4 linked regions of the Rattus norvegicus genome follow. The protein of the gene in region 3 interacts with the protein of the main gene of each other region in a pairwise test. Links are inferred from orthologs where the notes say so. Each region holds a gene or a part of one and is shown on either strand. Other genes may lie near its edges.

Evidence for each region.
Region 1: the proteins of Agtrap (region 3) and Mrm1 interact in binary tests that used the Homo sapiens proteins (3 or more experiments, as listed by UniProt). The two-hybrid records come from large-scale screens. The link is inferred for Rattus norvegicus from reciprocal best matches to the Homo sapiens genes AGTRAP and MRM1.
Region 2: the proteins of Agtrap (region 3) and Senp2 interact in binary tests that used the Homo sapiens proteins (3 or more experiments, as listed by UniProt). The two-hybrid records come from large-scale screens. The link is inferred for Rattus norvegicus from reciprocal best matches to the Homo sapiens genes AGTRAP and SENP2.
Region 4: the proteins of Agtrap (region 3) and Mcee interact in binary tests that used the Homo sapiens proteins (3 or more experiments, as listed by UniProt). The two-hybrid records come from large-scale screens. The link is inferred for Rattus norvegicus from reciprocal best matches to the Homo sapiens genes AGTRAP and MCEE.

Annotation. Positions count from the first base shown.
Region 1 is NC_086028.1:70,190,688-70,196,458, reverse strand, and holds the start of Mrm1 (rRNA methyltransferase 1, mitochondrial), read left to right. Parts: upstream 1-2,327; 5' UTR 2,328-2,469; coding exon 2,470-3,005; intron 3,006-3,162; coding exon 3,163-3,256; intron 3,257-3,389; coding exon of another isoform or gene 3,390-3,425; exon of another isoform or gene 3,426-3,794; intron 3,795-5,771. Other genes in the region: Dhrs11 (dehydrogenase/reductase SDR family member 11), read left to right, coding at 83-229. UniProt on the Homo sapiens protein: S-adenosyl-L-methionine-dependent 2'-O-ribose methyltransferase that catalyzes the formation of 2'-O-methylguanosine at position 1145 (Gm1145) in the 16S mitochondrial large subunit ribosomal RNA (mtLSU rRNA), a universally conserved modification in the peptidyl transferase domain of the mtLSU rRNA.
Region 2 is NC_086029.1:92,498,049-92,503,051, forward strand, and holds part of Senp2 (sentrin-specific protease 2), read right to left. Parts: intron 3,831-5,003; coding exon 3,770-3,830; intron 1,530-3,769; coding exon 1,353-1,529; intron 81-1,352; coding exon of another isoform or gene 66-80; coding exon 1-65. UniProt on the Homo sapiens protein: Protease that catalyzes two essential functions in the SUMO pathway.
Region 3 is NC_086023.1:163,791,462-163,796,464, reverse strand, and holds the end of Agtrap (type-1 angiotensin II receptor-associated protein), read left to right. Parts: intron 1-945; coding exon 946-1,051; intron 1,052-1,550; coding exon 1,551-1,746; intron 1,747-2,842; coding exon 2,843-2,961; 3' UTR 2,962-4,609; downstream 4,610-5,003. UniProt on the Homo sapiens protein: Appears to be a negative regulator of type-1 angiotensin II receptor-mediated signaling by regulating receptor internalization as well as mechanism of receptor desensitization such as phosphorylation.
Region 4 is NC_086019.1:127,374,084-127,379,762, forward strand, and holds the start of Mcee (methylmalonyl-CoA epimerase, mitochondrial), read left to right. Parts: upstream 1-2,269; 5' UTR 2,270-2,399; coding exon 2,400-2,445; intron 2,446-5,679. Other genes in the region: Mphosph10 (U3 small nucleolar ribonucleoprotein protein MPP10), read right to left, coding at 1,711-1,799. UniProt on the Homo sapiens protein: Methylmalonyl-CoA epimerase involved in propionyl-CoA metabolism.

The sequences.
Region 1 (5,771 bases), on a different chromosome or scaffold from region 3:
GTTAGAGTCCCTCAGGGTGGGAAGGAACTTGGGTCAGGGTCAGGACTCCTCTTGTCTCAACACCCTCCACCCCTGCCCTCAGTGTCTCAGACCAGAGGACGTGGCCGAGGCTGTCATCTATGTTCTCAGCACCCCTCCACATGTTCAGGTGAGTGTGGCCTTAAGGAGCTGTCTCCCCACTGGGAAGAGCCTAGCCGTGCCCAGCAGAGGGGCAGCAGGGAGTCCCTAAGCTAAGGGGGTGCCAGCCTCAAGCCTTCTGCCTTCCACAGGTTGGAGACATCCAGATGAGGCCCACAGAACAGGTGACCTAGTGTTCTGTGGGGAGTGCCTACCTCCCCGACCCTTCACGGCTTGCCTCCTGCCTCTGGATTTTAGGTGTTGACTTCTGGGCCCTGGATCTTACTTTCTATATCCACCTCACTAAGGGACAGACAGTTCGTCAGGTTATTCCCGTTACAAATGTGAAAAAAAATGGGCTGGGAGAGAAGATGTAATTGCAACTATTTTATCTAACTTCTTCCGAGTCCCCCTCTTGGGGCTCCCTCACCTTTGCTCTCCTGTGACCTAGGAAAAGGATGTGGCTAAAAGGGGCGTTGCTCTATCCTTTTTGTACCCTACCCCCTACCCCTTAGTGTAGGAGCAGCAGAGGCCTCATCTTTTACCTGTATGGTTGTCCAGGGCTCCAGGCTCCCCTTTCCAAACCCTCCCCTCCCTCAGCTTTCCAGCCAGGTTTTGGCCCTTTCTCTGGGGTCCCCACTGCTACAGAGTATCAGGGTCTGTCTCCTACATTTCACCACAATTAAAGAGCAAGATTGCAACCTCCTCTGCCTTCAGAAGTATCTTTCAGGTTTTTCACCCTTGGTGATCGGTGTGGTTGGTGTCTCAGAATTTCTTCCGGGAAATGGAAAGGTGGGTGGATTTGGAACATGGCTTCTAGAGTAGGAACAGGGGATGGTTAGTTTGAGGCCAGCCAAGGAGCCAAGGATACACATGTCTCCAAAACACACAAGTGAATAAGTCCGTACAGTGGCTGCACTAGAGGACCCAAGCTTGATTCCCAGAGTCCATGGGTTGATTCTAGTCCCAGGGAATCCTACATCCTCCTCTCTTCTCCTGGGACACCGGACACACATGTAGTGCACAGCCATACAGACAGACAATACGTCCACACACGTGAAAGAATTTCGAAAAATAAAATAAGTTGGAGCCAGGTAGAGTGGCGCACACCTTTAATTCCAACATTTGAGAAGCATAAGCAGTGGGGAATCCCCGTGAATTTGAGGCCAGCTTGGACTACACAACGAGTTTCAGGCCATCCATCAGGGCTGCTTAGTGAGACATTGATTTAAAAAGGGGTGGGGGGAGGGGAGAAATGGCTCAAAGGTTAAGAGCATTGGCTGCTCTTCCAGAGGACCCTGGTACAATTCCTAGCACCCACATGGCCGTTTGCAACTGTAACTTCAGTTCTAGGTGTCCCAACCCCCTCACAGACATACATGCAGGCAAAACACCAATGCACATTAGAAGAAGAAGAAGAAGAAGAAGAAGAAGAAGAAGAAGAAGAAGAAGAAGAAGAAGAAGAAGAAGAAGAAGAAGAAGAAGAAGAAAAAGAAGAAGAAGAAAAAGAAAAAGAAGAAGAAGAAGAAGAAGAAGTATTAGGAAAAGGGAAAAAAAGTTTAAAAAGATATTTTAAAAGACTGGGCTCGGGTTGGGGATTTAGCTCAGTGGTAGAGCGCTTGCCTAGGAAGCGCAAGGCCCTGGGTTCGGTCCCCAGCTCCGAAAAAAAGAACAAAAAAAAAAAAAAAAAAAAAAAAAAAAAGACTGGGCTGAAAAGAATTAGTAGAGTCTGAGCAGTGAGCAAAGGAGTCCCAGCATTATTGTGGGCTAAGGGCATCGGTCGCTTGATAGGCTCATTGGGGCTTTTCATTTCAGTCGTGGGAAGATGGGAAATGTTCTTGGAGTTCTGCTGGCTAGTGCTGAGGGTCTGACAGGATAAGCTTCTGAGATAAAGTCCCAACTATGACATTGTGCCTGGATGTAGGAAGCCACCAAGACCGACAATTGAACAGGTGGCCGAACCATTGTCATAAGTTGGTTTTTGCAGATGAGTTCTTGAATGCGGCTATCCCAGTCTCCTGACTTCTCCCTTTACCCAGAGCAGTCCAAGGTAGGGAGGTTAGCTCAGCATCTGCACAGCCTCTCAGCTCGCCAGCGTCAGTGGAGGCAGTGCGAGCCAGTCCTGTTGGGGGTGCTGTGGAGACATGGTTGCCGCCAAGCCCACGCGTGCGTCATCGGACAGGGGGCTGGGCCTCCAGAACCCGGAAGCTGGGGACCCACGTGGGAGTCTGGGAGGCGACTGTCTAGGCTCGAGTGTCAGGTCGTGGGCAGTCTTTGAGCGGGGACGAGGTGTGGGAGGCTAACGTGTTCTCCCCAGCAGTCTGTTACAGAGTTCCGGGCGCTGCTGGAGCAATGCTACTCCTCTGGACGGTCGGATGCTTCAATCGCCTCGTTGCCCGCCATTTCTCCTCCGTGGCTCGGCCCGGGGAGCGGCCTGGCGGGGAGGAGCTGAGTCGCTTGCTTCTTGATGACCTGGCGCCAGCCCAGAGGCTGGAACGTCTGTTTGGCGTGTCCCCATGCCTCCTGGCCTTGCGGGCCGCCCGCCGGCACGTGGCCCGGCTCCTGCTCCAGGCCGGTAAGGCTGGACTGCAGGGGGAGCGGGCCGAGCTGCTCCGGGTGGCCGAGGCTCGGGGCATCCCTGTCTTGAGGCCCAGGCGGCAGAAACTGGATGCCTTGTGTGGCTACCAGGTGCACCAGGGCGTGTGCATGGAGGTCAGCCGGCTGCGACCTCGGCCTTGCGATGAGGCGGCAGACACGAGCTCAGGCGACGACCCTCAGCAACTGTGGCTCGTCCTTGAGGGGATCCAGGATCCCCGCAATCTTGGGGCTGTGATGCGCTCCGCTTACTTCCTCGGAGTAGACAGGGTCATCACCAGCCGGAGAAACAGGCACGGACGTCCCTTAACTCTGCCCCTCTCCCGCCACCACCCCCCCCAGCTGGAGGCGGAGCCAAGTTCCTAAGCACCTGGTGGGGATCCCGGGGGTGTATAGGGCGCGGGGCTTGAGATTTCCGGGTTTAACACGGATCGTGGGGAACCTTTGCAGCTGTCCGCTTACTCCAGTAGTCAGCAAGGCCAGCGCTGGGGCCATGGAAGTGATGGACGTGTTCGCCTCTCCTGACCTGGCGAGTTTTTTGCAGGTAAACCTGGGCGAGAGGGGAAGAAGAGGCAATGAGTCTAGCTCGAGCTCTTAAAGCTACCTCCAGGTAGCAGTGGTCTGGGGGTCGGGGAAGAGAAGGGGACGTGGTGGCACTGATTCCTACGACCTTCTAGGTCCCACCGGGAAGGATCCCAAGGCCTTTAAAATAGAGCCTCGTCTGGTTAGAGATTTCCTCGCCTCATTTACTTTATTTACTACACGACTTGGCCACCTGTGTCAGCAAGTCAATGTCTGACACCCATGGGACTTCAGCAGCACTCGAGAGAGCTGGTGGACAGGAGTCGTGGGTATTTGGAATAGAAAGTCAACTTGAAAGCGATTTAAACAAGGCTTTGCAAGGGGCAAGCTTTAGTGTACTTTAGCTGTGTATTTCCTGGATAGACCCTAGGGGGCAGCATTGCCTCGCGTTTGGCCGTCCCTCTGACCTCTGTCCTTCCCCGTCCCCACCCCCATCCCTCAGTGAGAAAATAACCTTGAAAAGAGGCCAAAGAAAGCTGTAATAAACTTATATTCAAACCACGTGTCTAATTTCAGATTTTCCAGTAACCAAGCTGAAAAGTAAAGAGAGCAGGCCTGATGACACGCCTATAATTCCAGGTTTTAGGAGGTGAAGACAGTAAGATCATTCATTGCAAGGCCCTCCTGGGCTACGTGAGACCCAGTCTTAACAAAACAACAACAACAAAGACAAAAAACTAAAAAGAATCATAAATTTATACAATATACCACAAATATTATCTTTAAAACATAACATTTTAAATATTAATGAAAAAAATTTGAGACAGGGTATTGTGTGGCCCAGGCTGGCCTCAAATCCACAGAAATCCTCCTGTGTCAACCTCCTAACAGATGTGTAAACCTCATCTTAAAATGTTTATACATAATACATCTCAATTTGAAATAGTCATATTTCAGTCCCTAATAGTCACGTGTACTAGGACTGGAGAGCTGGCTTAACAGTTCAGAGTGCTGACTACTCTCCCAGAGAACTGAAGCCTGATTCCCAGCACCCACATGGTGGCTCACCACCATCTATAATTCCTCCTTTCAGAGATTTGATGCCCTCTTCTGGCCTCCCTAGGCCTTGGATCTCTTTTAAGTAATTGATTTAATGTTTTTTTTTTTTTCCAAATCTAGTCTCATAGCTTCATTTTCCCCTTGTTTTAGCTCTTTGAGAAAAGGATTGGCTATGTAGCCAACCTCAGACTCACAATTCTCCTGTTTCAGCCTCTCAAGTTCGTGTGTGTGTGTGTGTGTGTGTGTGTGTGTGTGTGTGTGTCAGATTTGGTAGCCAGTGCCTTTATGCCATGAGCCCTTTTGTGGCTTAAGCTCCCATATTCATTCATTCATTCACTTTTGAGACAAGGTTTTTCTATATAGCCTTGACTGTCCTGGAACTCACTCTGTAGATCCGTCTGGCCTGGAACTCACAGGGATCCACCAGTCTCTTTCCCTCTACTCCCACTGTGGGCCTTTCAAATTCCCCATTTCCAAGGCTGACCATCTGTTTTTCTAGGACCTACCCTGCTCAGTTGTTCAGTCAGACATTATCTGATTTGTCTTGATCCCACAGCTATGCCCCCAAATCCTTTCTTACTGTTTCCTCTGCTACTCTCGTCTGAGTTCCCAGCTCCCTGGACAGGGGTTTGGGTCTCGGCATGGCAGACATGATTCTGCTGAGACCCAGGTCAGACTGCATCACTTTGCTCATAACCTTTCAAGCACTAGGTCTGTGAGATCTACTTGTAGTCTCAGTACTTCAGAGACTTAAGACAGGAAGACCACCATGGGTTCAGGGCCAGCCTGGGTTGGTTTTTTTTTTTTTTTTTTTTTTTTTTTTCTTTTTTTCGGAGCTGGGGACCAAACCCAGGGCCTTGTGCTTGCTAGGCAAGCGCTCTACCACTGAGCTAAATCCCCAATCCTGGTTTTTTTTTTTTGTTTTGTTTTGTTTTTTGTTTTTTAAGATTTATTTCATATATGTGAGTACACTGTCACTCTCTTCAGACACCCCAGAAGATGGTTGTGAGACACCATGTGGTTGCTGGGACTTGAACTCAGGACCTCTGGAAGAGCAATCAGTGCTCTTAACCTCTGAGCCATCTCTCCATCCCATGAGCTCATATCTCAAAAAAGCCAGACAACGGCTCAACACTTTTATATCATGATAAAAGCCCTATATTTCCAGTGGCCCTTGAGACCTAACCCTATGTGGCCATTGTCCTATCACTTGCCAACTTAACAGTCCTGAGGTATGACAGGTGGGCGGGGCCTTCATGCCTCCATACTTGTAGATCTCCCTGTCTGGAACCTTCTCCCGCTGTCTACAAGACACTCATTCCTTAGTTATCTTTAGATCTGCTTTCAGCCACACAGCTCGGATTTTATTCTGCGTGCTCTTGGGCAACCTCAGTGCCCAGAGCAGATCCTGGCCGGGTAGAGGTCCTGACTTCCTGACTAAGTTGAAGTCATCTCTCAGTGAATGTGTGTGTGCAAGG
Region 2 (5,003 bases), on a different chromosome or scaffold from region 3:
GCGCTGCTCAAAATCTCATCTGGAGGACCATGGCCCAGGGCATTACTGATTTCCTTTTCCATGTCCTGAATTAGACGATGCTACATTAGCACAGAACCACTATCAGGTATGGAAAGACTCAGACTGAAAAAAGCCTTTCATCTCAGCAACACCTGACAATCTTTGAGGAAAATAACGATTCAACATCTATGAAACTGCAGTGTAAAAACATTCAAATTTACAACTGAAGAACAGTCTTAGGAAGTTGGATGGTGGTAGTGCAAGCCTTTAATCCCAGCACTTGGGAGCCAGCGGCAGGCAGATCTTGAGTTCAAGGCCAGCCTGGTCTATAGAATGAGTTTCAGAACAGCCAGGGCTATATAAGAAATCCTGTCTTAAAAAACTAAAATGAGAACAAAATTGAAAACCAAACCAAACCAAACCAGTCTTAACAATGGCTATCTCCTTGAATTATTTTAATAATTTATGCAGCTAAATGTATATTTAGCTTACGAACCCAATCAAAATGGTTGTTCTCATTTTCACCCAATTTTGTTATTGTATGGTTTGATCTCTCTACCTCTAACATGGTAAGCTTTTATGTTCATCTTGACAGGACCTAGAATCACGAGAGAAAAGAATTACAGCTAGGGCCTATCTGCATCTGTTGCCCTATGGGTACAGCTGTGGCGTTTGTCTTAGTTGAGCCAGCAGAGCCTGAGTATGAGGAAGTAAGAGGTCACGCGTCCACGAGTGGGTGTGCCGTGCCCAGCTGGACAGATGACCTCACACCTGCGCATGTGAGCTGCAGTTGCAAGCTCTTTCCCCAGGACTCTGCATATTATCCTGGCAGGCAGGAGAGATGAAGCTACAGGAACTTCATGTGCTCTGCGCTGTACGCGTTAGAGACATCTACACTAAGGGAGACCCCTCCACACACACCAGGACAACGGGTTCTTGATTCAGTATGAAGAATCCCTTTTAAAGTAAGAATTTTAACTACTATGAGGCTCACAGCAAGAGGACTGCCATGAATGCCGGAACAACCTTGACTAAGTAACCACGTAGACCTAGTTTCAGAAACAGAAAAAACCTAAAAAAGCAAAATCAACCAATAACCGAAATAACCAACAACCAAAAAACCCACCCAAACCAGTTATACCTGATTCACCAGGCCACCCTCACAGACCAGGAATGATCAATACAGACAACATAAGCAGACCTGGAGGTTTTGTTTTGTTTTGTGTTTTTTAAACTTCATATATTTATTACTTATCTGGAGACATTTCTCAAAACAAAGCATGCACTTCAGTTTAGAGGAGCTGTGGCTCGTCTGAAAGTCATCTAACTCTGACCCACACAAAGAACTCTACCTCTGTAAGTTCAAAGAGATCTTCTGTTCTTCTGTCCTTCTCTTTGCTTGGGAAGTTCTTTTCCTTTGCCTCAAGCACTGATATTTTCCTTCTGAGTAGGCCATTGCTTCCACTTCCCAGGCGAAGCCGGGCAGACACTTCTTCTGACAGATCAGGCTCCAACTGGTGTCCTCTTGTCTGACCAAAAAAGTTTCAACACTGACAATGCTTAATTTTGTACATATAATACAACAGTGCATAGAATACTAAACACTGCACAAGTTATGGAAGAAGTTAACGGTTTTCTAGTTTTAACTCCACCATGGAATTCTACATTGGGTAGTGACGATGTGCAGAAAGACATACTGGGCAGTGAAAGGGAAGACCCCACGTGACACCCCATGGCTTCCCTCCCAAGCAGCTTCCCTAATGCACAGCCCACTGACAGGCAGACTTGGGATCCAGTCAGTTTTGGTGTGTGATTTTTTATAAGGTTTATAAAATTTAAAAGGAAAAGCAAAAGTCTGGCATTAACTTGGAGACAAATGAATATGAGATTTAGCAGCTGTCCTGAGGGTGAAACAGACTCAGCCTGCCTGCCTCCTGCCTGCTGCCTGCCTGCTACCTGCCTGCCTGCCTCCCACCTGCTGCCTGCCTGCCTGCCTGCCTGCCTGCCTGCCTGCCTCCTGCCTGCCTCCCACCTGCCTCCCGCCTGCCTGCCTGCCTGCCTCCTGCCTGCCTGCCTGCCTGCCTGCCTGCTGCCTCCCACCTGCCTCCTGCCTGCTGCCTGCCTCCTGCCTGCCTCCCGCCTGCCTGCCTGCCTGCCTCCCGCCTGCCTGCCTCCTGCCTGCCTGCCTCCTGCCTGCCTTGGTTAAGGTGAACACAAGACAGAGTTAAACACAGGTCCACAGGGCATATCAGTTACAAACAGAAACACCATTCCTCTGTAACTAGGAAGGAAAACATTTTCAGTTCCTATCCCATTTTAAAATGTAATTAAAACATGTTTATGAAGTTTAGAAAGGTACAAGGTGTGGCCTAAAGAACATCGCTCACAAGAATCTACTTGTTTTTTTAAGATTTATTTATTTATTTATTTATTTATTTATTTATTTATTTATTTATTTATTTCATGTATGTGAATACACTGTCATTGTCTTCAGAAGAGGGCATCGGATCCCATTACAGATGGTTGTGAGCTACCATGTAGCTGCTGGGAATTGAAATCAGGATCTCTGGAAGAGCAGCCAGTGCTCTTAGCTGCTGAGCCATCTCTCCAGTCCCGAAGAACCTATTTCTTATTTAAAGTCATCCTGTGTTAGTTAAAGCTGCTTTACTTATGTATTCCTTTTTCTGTGTAGGGTTGGAATCTGAGGCCTTTAACATGCTAGGCAGACACTCCCTCTGAGCTGTATCTACCCTCTATCTCATGCTAGCACTGTAGTAGACGATGTGCTGAACAGGAGGTTATCTCCCATGGCCGCTGATTAAACCGTGCATTCTCAGTGAAAGCCTCTACGAGGACTGGAGATGGGAACAGAATGGAGCTCAGTGGAGCTTGCCTGTACACACGAAGTCAACACCTTACGAGTTTGTTAGGAAATGTACTTAAAACAGAACTTTGGAGTGGAGCTATGGAGTCTCAAGACACCAGTGAGCTTTCTTCATTCTTTCTGACTGCCTGGTAGTTCCCATCCACTCTTTCCTTGTTTTATAAAAAGACTAGCTCTCACTTTGTTGTTTAGACTGGCTTAACTGTCTAGATTTGGTTCTCCCTGACTGCTAAGATTATGAGCATTCTGTTTTGACTAAAAGGAAGATAAATGACAATTAAACATAAAGCAGTCCATCTGGAATCGCTGGAAACAGAGAACATTAATTAAATAAGGGAATGTTTTACGACCATTTTTATAATTCTATATAAATAAAAATATAAGTAACAAAAGTTTCAGTTGCATTTAATTAAGGAATATATTTCTGCATGGGGTGTGGCAGTGTACACCTATAATCCCAGCAGAAGGTCAATTAATAAATTAATTAAATCAATCAAGCAGGAGGCAGAGGCAGGTGGATCTCTACAAGTTTGAGGCCAGTCTGGTCTATATAGTAAGGCTGCATAGTAAGACCATGGGGGTAGAGATGGACTGGATTTCTGCCAGATATTAAATGTTTAACAAAATAACATTAAAAACCTGAACATGCCCTACAGAGACACTGAAACTCTGATTCTAATACTTACACTAAGTAGACTGGGTAGTGGTGGCACACACCTTTAGTCTCAGTACTTGGGAGGGAGAGGTCATGAGTTTGAGGCCAGCCTGGTCTACAGAGCTAGTTCTAGGACAGTTGGGGCCACTTCCTTGTTTCCTGTGGCATCGAATGTCAGTCCGGTGAAAAGGTGACAAGGCGAACCTAACATTTACAGGGCTCCTACTTACACCGTCCTTTTCAAATCGGAGTCCCACCACCTTCTCTGTGTCAGCTTTTCCTTTTGAATACCTGCGGAGGATACCATTACAGATTTACAGAGTTCTGCTGTTACACGTGGTTCATGCTAGTTCCACAAGTAACATTTATTAACCTGTTAATAGTGGAGCACATCTGTAATCCCAGAACCCAGGGAAGTGGAGGCAGGAAGACCAGTAAGTAGTTCAAGGCTACATAATGAGTTTGAGTCTACCCTGGGCTAAATGAAACTGTTTCAAACTTTTTTTTTAATTTTAAAATTAGGATTTATTAATCTCTAAACAAAACTGGCCTTGGGAATCCTGACACTGCCCTGTCTCTGCTTCCTGAACTGCCATAAACAAAGCGTGTCATTCTAATGCTTTTCTCAGCATGACAGACTGACTTCTCTAAAACTGTGAGCTAAAATAAACCCTTCCTCCCTTACAGCATTTGTGTCAGGCATTTTAGCAGCAGTGGAAGGAAACTAACATGAAAATCAAATGCTAGAAAAGTGGGCTTGCTGCTGTGACCAACCTCTCTGTGGCTCTTGCAATGTTGGAACTAGTCTGAGGAAGAATATGAAAAAAAATGCAGATTTAGGTCAAAGAGACACTCTACAATGCTGCAGTAGGAGAGATTGACAGGTGCTGGCAAGACCAGACTGAGGAGAAATGCAGACACTGGATTATACTTGTTAGGTTCAGACAGGGCAATGATACTACTATGTAAGAATGGCTGCATTTTCTTTGCCACCTAAAATCTTCCCTGAAATTGAGGGCAATTTAAAAGAGGATGGCATGCAGGAAGAGGTGGTCTATGCCTGTAAACTCTACACTCAGTGGGCAGAGGAGGGAGGATCAGGAGTTGAGGTCAGCCTTACACAGTAAGATCCTGTCTCAAAAGACCGGGCAGGAAAAGGGGGCTGAGGAGGTGGACGAGTTGGTAAAATACTGAGCTTGGTCCAGTATCCATGAAAAAGCTGCTCACAATAGCACATGCATACGCTGTGGGCTGGGGCTTGCTGGTCAGACAGTTCAGCCAAATCAATTCTAGGTTCAGTGAGAAACCAGGTCTCAAAAAAAAAAAAAAAAAAAAAAAAAAAAGATTGAGGAAGACATCTACTGTCTCTACCTCTGACTTCCACATGCATGCACACATATACACCCACCCTGCCTATTCCCTTAAGAAGAAAAAGAGGTAGGGAAGCAATAACTAACAGCAGTG
Region 3 (5,003 bases):
CCTAAACCTCTCCCTACCCTAAACCTCTTCAGCTCAGCATCTGGGCTTCCCTTCCCGCAGCTTCTGATTCCTCTACAACTCAGCTGTTTTGGCTACCTGCGCTCTTGGTTCTGCTCTTGGCTCCTCTCCTGGACCTCTCTTTGTCTCTTTGCCCCCTCTCCCCTTTCCTCGCTTTCTCTTCCTCTGATGATCTCCTCCACACCTCTCATGGCCCTATTCAGTTTGCTGGCCATGCTCAGTCTGGACCCTTGCAGATGCCTCTGACTGTCTCTCCCGCACATCTACAATAAAACCTTCTTCTCAACCATACCTAGGAGCGGTGTGTCCTCGTGCTCCTTCATTGTGCAGCCTGTGACCTGGTTAGTCACTTAGGTCTGTGACTTGAGTCTATAAAATGAGGCTCACAACACCGCCTCCCCGCCAAGAGCAGCTGTGAGCTCTTGTATAGAATACCTACGCTATCAGTATAGAATGCCTACGCAGGGCAGAGCCAGGTCCCAGGAAGGGCCCTGTGTTAACTGTGACAAGCCGGCTCAACAAGCAGACTAGTAGGTGATGGCAGTTGATGGAGGTAATCTGAAAACTACAGCAGGGAGGGGCTCGGTCAGTCAGCATGGGAGCAGATCTCTCAGGCAACGCTTGAGCTCTAAGATGGCTGTGTGTTCAGGAAAACGGAACCTCAAGGGTGTAGCAGCCAGGAGCAAGGGTGGGGCTCTCGTGGGAACCCCATAGCGTACAGCAAAAAAAGGTATCTCATTCCAAACGGTGGAAAGGTTGGAGTGGAGGAGTCACATGGTCAGATTCACACACTGCTTGCTATTTCAAGAACTGCCTGCAGGGGGCAGGAGTGACACAGAAGACCTGTGGCTAAGACCCTGGAGCAGGGGAAGGAACTGGGAGGGGTGGGCAGCTCAAAGCGGTGACTGATAGTGTCTCTCTATGCAGGGGCTGCTTGGCGTTCTCAGGCTCCTATGCTTGGGGCAACTTCACTATCCTGGCCCTGGGTGTGTGGGCTGTGGCCCAGCGGGACTCTGTTGATGCCATTGGCATGGTGAGTTGGCGGTGGGGAGGTGGCTCCATCCGTGGGCCCCTCATCTGCCCCAGTCTTCTCTCTTCCTCACACCCCATCTTTTTCTGTTCTAAAGCCCTGCACACGGCAAGCCTAGCCAGGCCAGCTACACAGCGACCCACCTCTGCTGTTGTCCCCCCAAGACAGACATGGGGGGAGGTCACAGAACCCCAGTGTCTCCTTAGGAGAATTACAAAGGGGTTTGTTTCCCTTGTTTTCTTGCAGCGAGACCAGATGTTATGGGCTCCAAGGAAGTGTCCCTCTCAGAAATTCTGGAGATAGGCCCCTCATGATCTCAATGGCAGGAGATGGGGGTGGGGAATTATGGGGCAACAGGTTAGAGCCAGACTCTTGTGTCCATGCTCCTAGACCATGCAGGTGTCAGTCACAAGATGCCGGTCACCAGCCTGGTGTGTGTGAGGGAAACTTGGGGTCTGGTTGGGTGTCAGTGTCCGTGATCCTGTGATGGTGTTCCTTGCAGTTTCTTGGTGGCTTGGTTGCCACCATCTTCCTGGACATTATCTACATTAGCATCTTCTACTCAAGCGTTGCCGTTGGGGACACTGGCCGCTTCAGTGCCGGCATGGCCATCTTCAGCTTGCTGCTGAAGCCCTTCTCCTGCTGCCTCGTCTACCACATGCACCGGGAGCGAGGGGGTGAGCTCCCGCTCCGCTCGGGTAAGTCCCACTCCACCCCGCCTGCCCCCGGCCCAGCCACCAGTCTGGTGTGACTTCTTCCTGTTGTCAGGCAGACTTGGTGGCCCTCCCTCAGTCCAGAGTACAAGTGGAGGCGTGGAGTTGCTCAGCTCGCTGTGGCAGCAAGGAGCCTCTGCTGCGGGGCTGCAGATGGCTGTGGGGACAACTCCTTCCTCCTGTTTCCACCCAGCCCTGCCTCTGGAGGTGTGCGCTCCTGCCATGTGGGGCGTACCCTTTCTGAGCAGGCAGGCCAGGGAGCCCTGTGTACCAGCCTTCTAGACTCTGGCTCAGCCCACGCTGTCCTCTTTGGTGGCGGGCCAAGCCATTTTCCTGCCCTCTCTGACCCTGCTCTCCTGTGGGAGCTGGGTGTGGTCTCCAGGTGACCTGAGGATCCCATGAGAGAGTGCTGAGCCAGTGCCAGAGTGGCCTACGGCTGCCCATTCTGGTTTATCTCTGTGCTCACCTAGACCTGCCCGGGTGTGAAGGGATCAGACAGGAGAAGGAAGGTCCACTGCTCCTGGGACTTGTCCATGGTCTCAGGGCAAATATACAGAGGGAGAAATGTGAGAGACACAGGTGCCTTCTGTCCTGCTCTGTACTCTCAGCCCCAGCCTTCTGGGTACAGCAACTGTGTCAGGCCCTGTGGCTTCTAGAAATGGTGATTTATATGGGTCCTAGCGCCTGGCAGACAGCAGGAAGAAAGTCTGTGGGCTCAGGACTGACCCCCTCCTCAGGTACCTGAGCGTGTGCTTCCGGGGCAGATGTGACACAGTAGCCATTGACCACAGGAGCTGCTGTTTAGGTTGGACCCCAGTGTCATCTGCTTCATGCCACAGGGTCTTAAATCAGCCGGTCTCTCTGACCCTCGCATTTCTCTCATCTGCAGAGCCACCCATACCGATGCTAGGCTTGAGTGGACGCTGCTTGGTAAAGGCCTGGTGTCTGGGCTTCTGCCACTGCCCATTGTCCTTGGTATCATGATGCCAAACACTAGCCATGGCAGATGGTGGATCTGTCTGTGCTTAGCAGAAGGCCCCATGGTCTCATTTTCTCTATCCACTTGTTCCCTGTCCTCTAGATTTCTTCGGACCTTCTCAGGAACATAGTGCCTACCAGACAATTGACTCGTCAGACTCACCTGCAGACCCCCTTGCAAGCCTGGAGAACAAGGGCCAAGCTGCCCCCCGGGGGTACTGAAGCTGTCCCTGGCCGTCCTGGGGCCCAGCAGGATGCTTGTCACCTTCTTTACTGGACCTACAATGGGGTATCCTCCATTCCCTGCCACAGAGGTGGCCTGAGTCATGTGCCCTCGGAGGTCCCAGCTGAGAAGAGCCCAGTCCTAATTCTCCATGCTGCCCCTCCATTCAAGACACCTGTTAACCCCTGGGCTAGAACTGTGGTTGGTTTCTTCCCCTCCTCCCCATCACTATAACACACAACCGCCGAGCTGTGCAGAGTGTTCAGGGCCATCCAGGCCTTATGGGCCAATGATCACTGCCTCTCAGGCTACCCCAAGGTGACCCAGCCCTTCTGGAAGCTCTGTGAGCTTGTGGTCCTGCTCAGCCTGTTCTGCACAGGAGCCAAGTCCCTGTGCCTCTCAGTGCCTCATGACAGTGCCTGAGAACCCCAGGCCCAGATGCAGTAGGTCTGTCTGCAGAGGAGCCCTGACATTAAAATGCAGGGCCTCTGGGCCTGCACTAGGTTCCAGCCATGTTTGTGCTCCGAGCTGGGACCCACCCTGCCGTCTGGGTGTGACTTCGCCCTAGACTCAGTTGCAGGTGGAACATAGTTTCAGCCACCCATTATATCAGCCAAATGGGGTGGCAGAGGAAGTGCTGGTCGGTGTGGCATGTAGACAGACATCTATCCTCTGATTCTAAGTGACTAATTTCACTGCCTCTGATCCTGAACCATGAGGCAGGGCATGGGTGGCTTCCTCTAGCCTCTGCGTTCTGACCACAGTCGACTGCCTCCTGAGGTGCCAGCGCTCCCACTCTTACTCACCGGCAGACGTCTGGGGACAGATACTTGAAGACTTATGGGGAGCCGCAGGCTGAGGTGAGAGTCCTGAAAGCACTCTCTGCACACGAGACAGGCCGGGAGGCTGAGTGACAGCATCATTGGTGGGGTCACTGCGTCCATCTGCTGCGTCAAACACAATCCCATGCAATCAGCACCTAACCCAGACCTGGTTGGCATCCACACTGAGCCCAGTGTGAGCAGAGTGAGGAGCGGTAGCTGTGATTTGTTTAGGCTGAGTGCAGCACAGTGTAAACAAGAGCTGGGGCCCAGAGACTCAGAGGCTTAGAGGCTCAGCCGCAGGTAAAGGAGTCTTCTACTGAGCGTCACGATGTGTGTTTGGTCCTTGGAACCGACTTGCGAAAGTTATCCTCTGACCTCCACACTCTTTGTCATGGTTTGAGGTTTTACACACACATACAAACACACCACAAACAGATAAATGTAAAAACAAACCCAGAATATTAAAAACGTGCCTGGTGGGTGGTTAATGCCAGCACTTGGGAGGCAGAGGCAGGTGAATCTCCGAGTTAAGGCCAGCCTGGCCTACAGAGCGAGTTCCAGGACAGCTGGGGCTGTTTCATAGCTCTGGGACACGTGTCAAGTTCAAGACTGCAGAGGCCTGAGGAGAAGGGAGCACGTGGCCTGAGGCAAAGAAGACAAGAAGCCCAAGATGTTTTCTCGTGTTTCTGGAAGGGTTCTTGTCGGAAGGAAGGCCTGGGGGCTGGGGATTTAGCTCAGTGGTAGAGCGCTTACCTAGGAAGCGCAAGGCCGTGGGTTCGGTCCCCAGCTCCGAAAAAAAAGAACCAAAAAAAAAAAAAAAAAAGGTGTGCGGAAGGAAGGCCTGGAGTATCAGTGCCTGTGTCTCTTGGATAGGCCATGGTTGCAGAGACTTAATAAGGTGAGGGAGGGCTTGGCCTACGTAGCTAAGACAGGTCACAGATCTTAGGGAAGGGTAGAGGAGGATCTCTGGAGAAGGTCCCAAAGGCAGACTAGAGCAGGGTGGGCTGGGCTTTCTCATTGGTCATCGGCTGTCCCACAGTAAGTGACAAACTTCCAGCTGACAGAGGAGAGGCCCTGGGGCGAGCAGAAGCATGGAGGAGCATCAGGTGCCAGAGTTGGTGGGTGAGGAGAAGAGACATGCCCTAGAGGCAGTAGTGGACTAGAGAAAGCCTAAGTGGAGGGGCAGCCGCCAGGAAGCCTGACCTGGAGCATTGGCC
Region 4 (5,679 bases), on a different chromosome or scaffold from region 3:
AATAAAAGAAGAAATAAAAGCCGTAACTTATTTACAAATTAAAATGTAAATGGACATCAGTTTTAAGTACAGATTCCTGTTCCCAACAGTATCTTGCTGATGAGTCCGACCGCAGTTATCTGATTTTGCTCTGTATATTAAAGGCTGGATCACTACTCCTCTGAAGTCAGCCTTAAATCCTCAAACCTGCATTACACACATTCTGCAATTATTAGTCATTTGGCAAGTGATTGCCACTTGGCTTTAAGTTTGAGGAAAATTCTCTAAGGATATGATAACCGAAATGGGATCTACAAATTGAGGCCTCCAGAAAAAACAGTGTCTAGTACAGATGTGGAAACACATATTCTGGTTATAAGAAATATTTAGAAGCAGAGAGATGAGTTCAGACAATGCGAAGAACAGAAAGACCAAGACAGCTGTAGTGTGGCTGAGGAGGCACAGTGGGTGGCTGAGGTTATAGAAACTGGGTTCTGAGATAGGAATTTGTCACTTAAAAGTGTAATATGTGATGATGATTTACAATTTGGAGAGAGAAAGAATGTTAAAGGTTGTTAGAAAGCTGATGCAAAGGATTTTTATGTCAGAGACACGGCAGAAGTATGACAATTAGGAATCAGTGTCTAAATATATTGTAGATAGGATTCTGAGGATGCTAAAGGGTTGGAGAAAGTACGGCAAAAAGGAAAGCATCAAGGAAGTAGACTAGTTGAATCTGAATAAATGAAATGATAGAACTGCCATTTAGTGGGGCAGTAAAAGTAAGCTAAGGTAATAGAAACGGGGAAATGACTTTAGGGGAGAGGAGAATACAGGAGGGGAGGGGAGGGGAGCTCTATTTTGGACACAATGATGTGATGCTATTGCTAAAATTTTCAATATAAGTCAGAGTCATAATTTTACAGAACTTAATCAAAATGCTGGGAAGAAAGAAGTCTCTCCTAATTTGTTTTTATTCTTTCATACAAAACATTCTAATTGCAGCCTCTTCTCCCTCCCCACCTCCCCCAGATCCACACTGCTCCTCGGTTTCCCTTCAAAAAAAGTAGGCTTCAACCGAACACAATCTCTCATATCAAGGTTAGACAAGGCAACCCAGAGGGGTAAAAGGGCCCCAAGAGTGAAAGAATCAGAAACGCCGCTATTCCACTGTTAGGAGTTCCACAAAAACCCCAAGCTAAACAACCACAACATATATGCAGAGGATCAACGCAGGTTCCGTGATAGCCAATAAAGTCTCTGTGGGGCCCTCCATAAACCCTGATTAGTTGATTAGGTGGGCCGTGTTCTTGTGGTGTCCTGGACCCCTATGCCTCCTACAGTCATTCCCCACCCCCCTTCCACAGGCTTCTCCGAGCTTCCTCTACTGCTTGGGTCTCTGCAAGCTCAGTTGTGAAAATACACTGAAAAGCAACAAGTACGTACTTTCAATAAAGCTCAATGACAGGTAAGCGGTGTGTATTTGGGGGACACAAATTCAGAAAGCGTATTCCGCACGCAATACGCTTCTCTGGACGCGAATTAACTGCACTTAGTTCAATAGTGCACAACTAGGAAATCTACACTGAACCGCTTTTACTGTTAAAAAACTGAAGTTGGGACTGAGCGACCTGTACTTCACTTCCTGGCTTTCAGAAGTTGACGGATGCCGGCCCGCCTAGCACCGATGTGATGCGGGTCGCTCTCTGCCAGAGTTGGATCTGCACTTACGTGAGGAAACACTCGGGTCGGTTGGTGGCTTTTCTGACTTCCCTCAGACACCGTTCAAGGGTCTGTCGACGAAACACGCGGGGCGCCATAGCTATACACTACGGCGCCACACGAGGGCTGGGAACCGGCCGGAAGTCGTACCGCAAACACTTGCCTCAAGCAACCTGCAGCTCAGAGCCTAAGGTTCCGCCACACACAGGTTCCGGCCCCTAGCAGCAAACGCTTCTATTGGGCATGCGTAGGGGTGGAGCCGACCACCGAAAAGGGCTATTGGTCATCTCAAGCGTCTTGGCTCTTTCTCCAAATGTTTTGTATTTCTAAGAGAACCGCAGTGGTGTCGCGTGGTCGCTTTCTGCTTTTGCATTCGATACAATAAGTATTTTAATGTAACGGAAAAGAAGGTCACCCTATGCGGCGTCCGCCACTGCCCCGTTTTTCCCACCCTCTGTAGCCGTCAGTCAAGCTCCGAGTCTTGTTACCCCGCCCCAGGCCCCAGGCCCCGCCCCTTGCTCTCTTTCCGCCCCCATCCCCAACCCCCTTCAGCCGTCTAGCTCTCTAAAGGGTATTGGGGCACTGCCTTCGAGCCCCACCCTTGTCCTGTTTTCCACGCCCACCTCAGGCCCCGCCCCCTGCCCACTCTCCTAGTTGTCTTTGCCCGGGGTCGCTGTGCAAGCTTGTAGCTTCAGGAGATGAGGCTGGTAGTGAAGGCCGCTGCGTTGGCTGCAGGCGCTACAGGTGAATACCGGGCACCATCAGGGGCGCCGGGTGCGGGGCACGGGAGGCTGCGGGAGGCCAAGGCCTGGGTCTGAAGTGTTGGGCTCCTGGAGCTGCGCTCCTTTTAGCACGGGAGTTCCTTATTGTCCTTCTCTGTGCTCAAGGGTTGCCCTTGGCAAACATGGACCAGACAGGTAATCTGCCTAAGAACACAGGCAAGGCAGGACTTGCAATAAAGCTGGAGGAGACTCGAGTTATTAAATGCCTCCTCTAAGAGATAGGAGAAAAGGGCAAAGTGGCAAGTCCTGAAAGTCTCAGTCCAAGCCAGTTTTATACACGTACCACACTCAATTTTTTCATCTGACATGAGCAGGAAAGGAGCAAGCAGAAGGATTTGTAAGTTCCTTGAGTTCTTTCGACCTCCATCTCATTAATCAAGAAGCAGAATCTTGGTGACAAATGCCCAACTTTTCTGCCTGTCTCACTTTCTCTTCCATTTTCTTCCCTTTCTGCATGGTGGCAGTTACTGCCCTCCGTCTGAGATTTTCAACTTGAAAGAAAGTGTAAGGCAGTATCATTCCAGAGTTCCTGTTACATTTGCGACAAATCCATTAGCCTGGAAAGTTCTGTCTGCTCCTCTATTGAAACTAGTCATCTTTCAAAGTCTGCTCTCAAACTGAATTTGGTTTTTGTGGAACCCTCCAGCCTTTCCAGCCAATCACAAAATTCCCTGTCTGCCCTAACAAACAAGGCCCCAAGGCAAAATCATGAGCCACAAGCCAAAAAATAAAAAAAGCCAACCCCCCCAAAACAACATAACACCTTAGTACAACTGTGTGTATGTATGTTTATAAGAAAGAAAATATCGTAGTGAAAGCCAGAGCACAAAAGTGGAAATGATTTTCTTTTTTTTTTTTTTTCTCTCTTTTCTTTTTTTCAGAGCTGGGGACCGAACCAAGGGCCTTGCGCTTGCTAGGCAAGTGCTCTACCACTGAGCTAAATCCCCAACCCCTATGATTTTCTGATTAACAGTTAATGCTGAAGTTTTGCTAGCACTCCCTGTTGTCATAGTTTTCTATATGATCAAATAGATCAAATAGAAGCCACCTTCTTAGCTCACCCATCATACGTCGTTATTATCTACTATAGCAGAATCACCCATTTTCCCTTATCAAGCTCTCTCTTAGAAATTAGGCCCTGCTTGTCAGACATATTACTAATGGTATTAAACATTGAGAATCTGGGCTGAGACTAGCAGAGATGCTAGAGTGCTTTCCCAATGCACACAAAGCCTGGGTTCATTCCCACATGAACCAGCAGGGCGGCGCACACCTGTAATCTCAGCACTTGGGAAGTAGACACGGGATCAGAAAGTTCAGATCCATCCTCAGGCACAACCGCGTCTGAGGGCCACCCAAGATTCATGAGACGATCTCAGAGTAACATAAGATTCTTTTTAATTGAGAAGAAAGGGGCCGCAAAAGATTCTGGGTATAGTTTCATGGAGCAATACTGGTCAAGCATATGCAAGGCCGTAAGTTCGATTCCCAGCATGGAAGAAAAAGGAAAGGAAGAGCGCCGTAGAGGAATGAGCTGAAATAATAGTTTCTCAACATCAACTCTGATGTCTGACAGACCCGGGCTCAAGGCCCTGCTTTGCCGCTTAAAGTGATGTTGAGGAAAAGAACCTAGTCTCTAGAGGCCTAATTCCACATTATCCAACCCACAGGGTCACAGTAAAGATTAAATAACACAGGTATTCAGGGTGCCTGTATCATTATCTTTATTTTGTGGCCACGTAGACTAAAAGGCAAAGCCAGGCTATGGTACCGTGCCCCTCCCCCACCTTGGCATTTGTGCTTTTGCAATGTAGTTTGGAAGGACAATGGCTATGACAAGGTTTCATAATGATTGATGTGTAAGTATAGAGGTGAAGTAAAACCATAGGTCTGTACTAGGGAAAGGGTAGAATCCAACATGAGTCTTCCAATTCTGTCCTTTGCTGCTGCTGAATCGTAGTGGTTGGGAAAACATTGGGGGGGGGGTTTCTATAACTGAGGCATAGAGTAACTGAGCAGTGGGTAGGAGGAGCTAGCTGGTTTATAGATTGCTCAAAAGTAGATTTATTGTTTAGTCTCCATTTCTGTAGACTAGGAAAGGTCCCCGTGTGATAAAATGGTCATAAGTCATATATGTGAGTCACAACAGTTTTGTCGTGAGGCTGGAGACCAAACGCAAAGCTTTCTCATGCTAAGCAAGTGCTCTGTCGCTGAGCTATCCACCCTGTCAGAGCCGGAGGGTTATAAGCAGCAGCTTTTAACTCCAAAACTGTAATGTGTGTCCCTTTAGCAAAAAGCAAACACAGAGGTGAACTCCATCAACATGTCAGAAGTCAGAAAATACTTGAACACCTTCAGCCATTTCTAAAACCGTACCCCTCAGGATACATCTTCCAAAAGGAAAAGACCAGTTAGGGACTGGTGGGAAGTGCCTGGGATCTTAGAAGTTTGGGAGGTGGAGGTAAGAGGACATGTGGCCTGCCACTGGAGCGAGGTCCCAGGGTGACACCCTCAGAGAAAAATAGCAGTCCCTCTCCTCCCCGCTATCAGTCACCAATACTCGTCAGCCAGAGGAGGGACTTCATGCCCACCCACCTTGCTTTCCATGTTGGGATCTTGTCTGGATTGACTTCTTTGCAGGTCTTTTGTACGCTGTCCTGAGGAATTGACATGTGAGGCTGCACTGCCGTATTCTTTGTAGTCATCCACTGCTTCTGGCTTTTACACTCCCCCCACCCCCCACAGTAATCCCTGAGAAGGTGATGTGATATATATAATATATATGCTCTATGTAGGACTGAGCAGTACCTTTACTTTCTGTACCTTGATGACTTTCAAGTCTGTGTTAAACAACATCTACTTAAACAGAAGCTTCTCTGATGAGGGTTGAGAGGTGGACTAATGTATGGGTATAATAATAAGTCATTAAAAGTGACTTTAACACTAAGCCCATTTAGCAGACTAATAGTAGTAGGGCCTATGACCTATCTAGCCACAGTTTTATTCATTGATAATGGTGTCGGGTATGGGCTGAACTTATGGAGTGGCGCTTTAAACCCAATCAGAACGCTGTTGGTTACTCTCACGATATTTCCGCCCCTCTTGCATCAGTGGGCGTATCTTATCAAGGTGGTGAGTGTGCCTGCCAGAGTTCACACTTAGGTAAGATGTGAAGATTACCTTCCTCCTCCAGTGG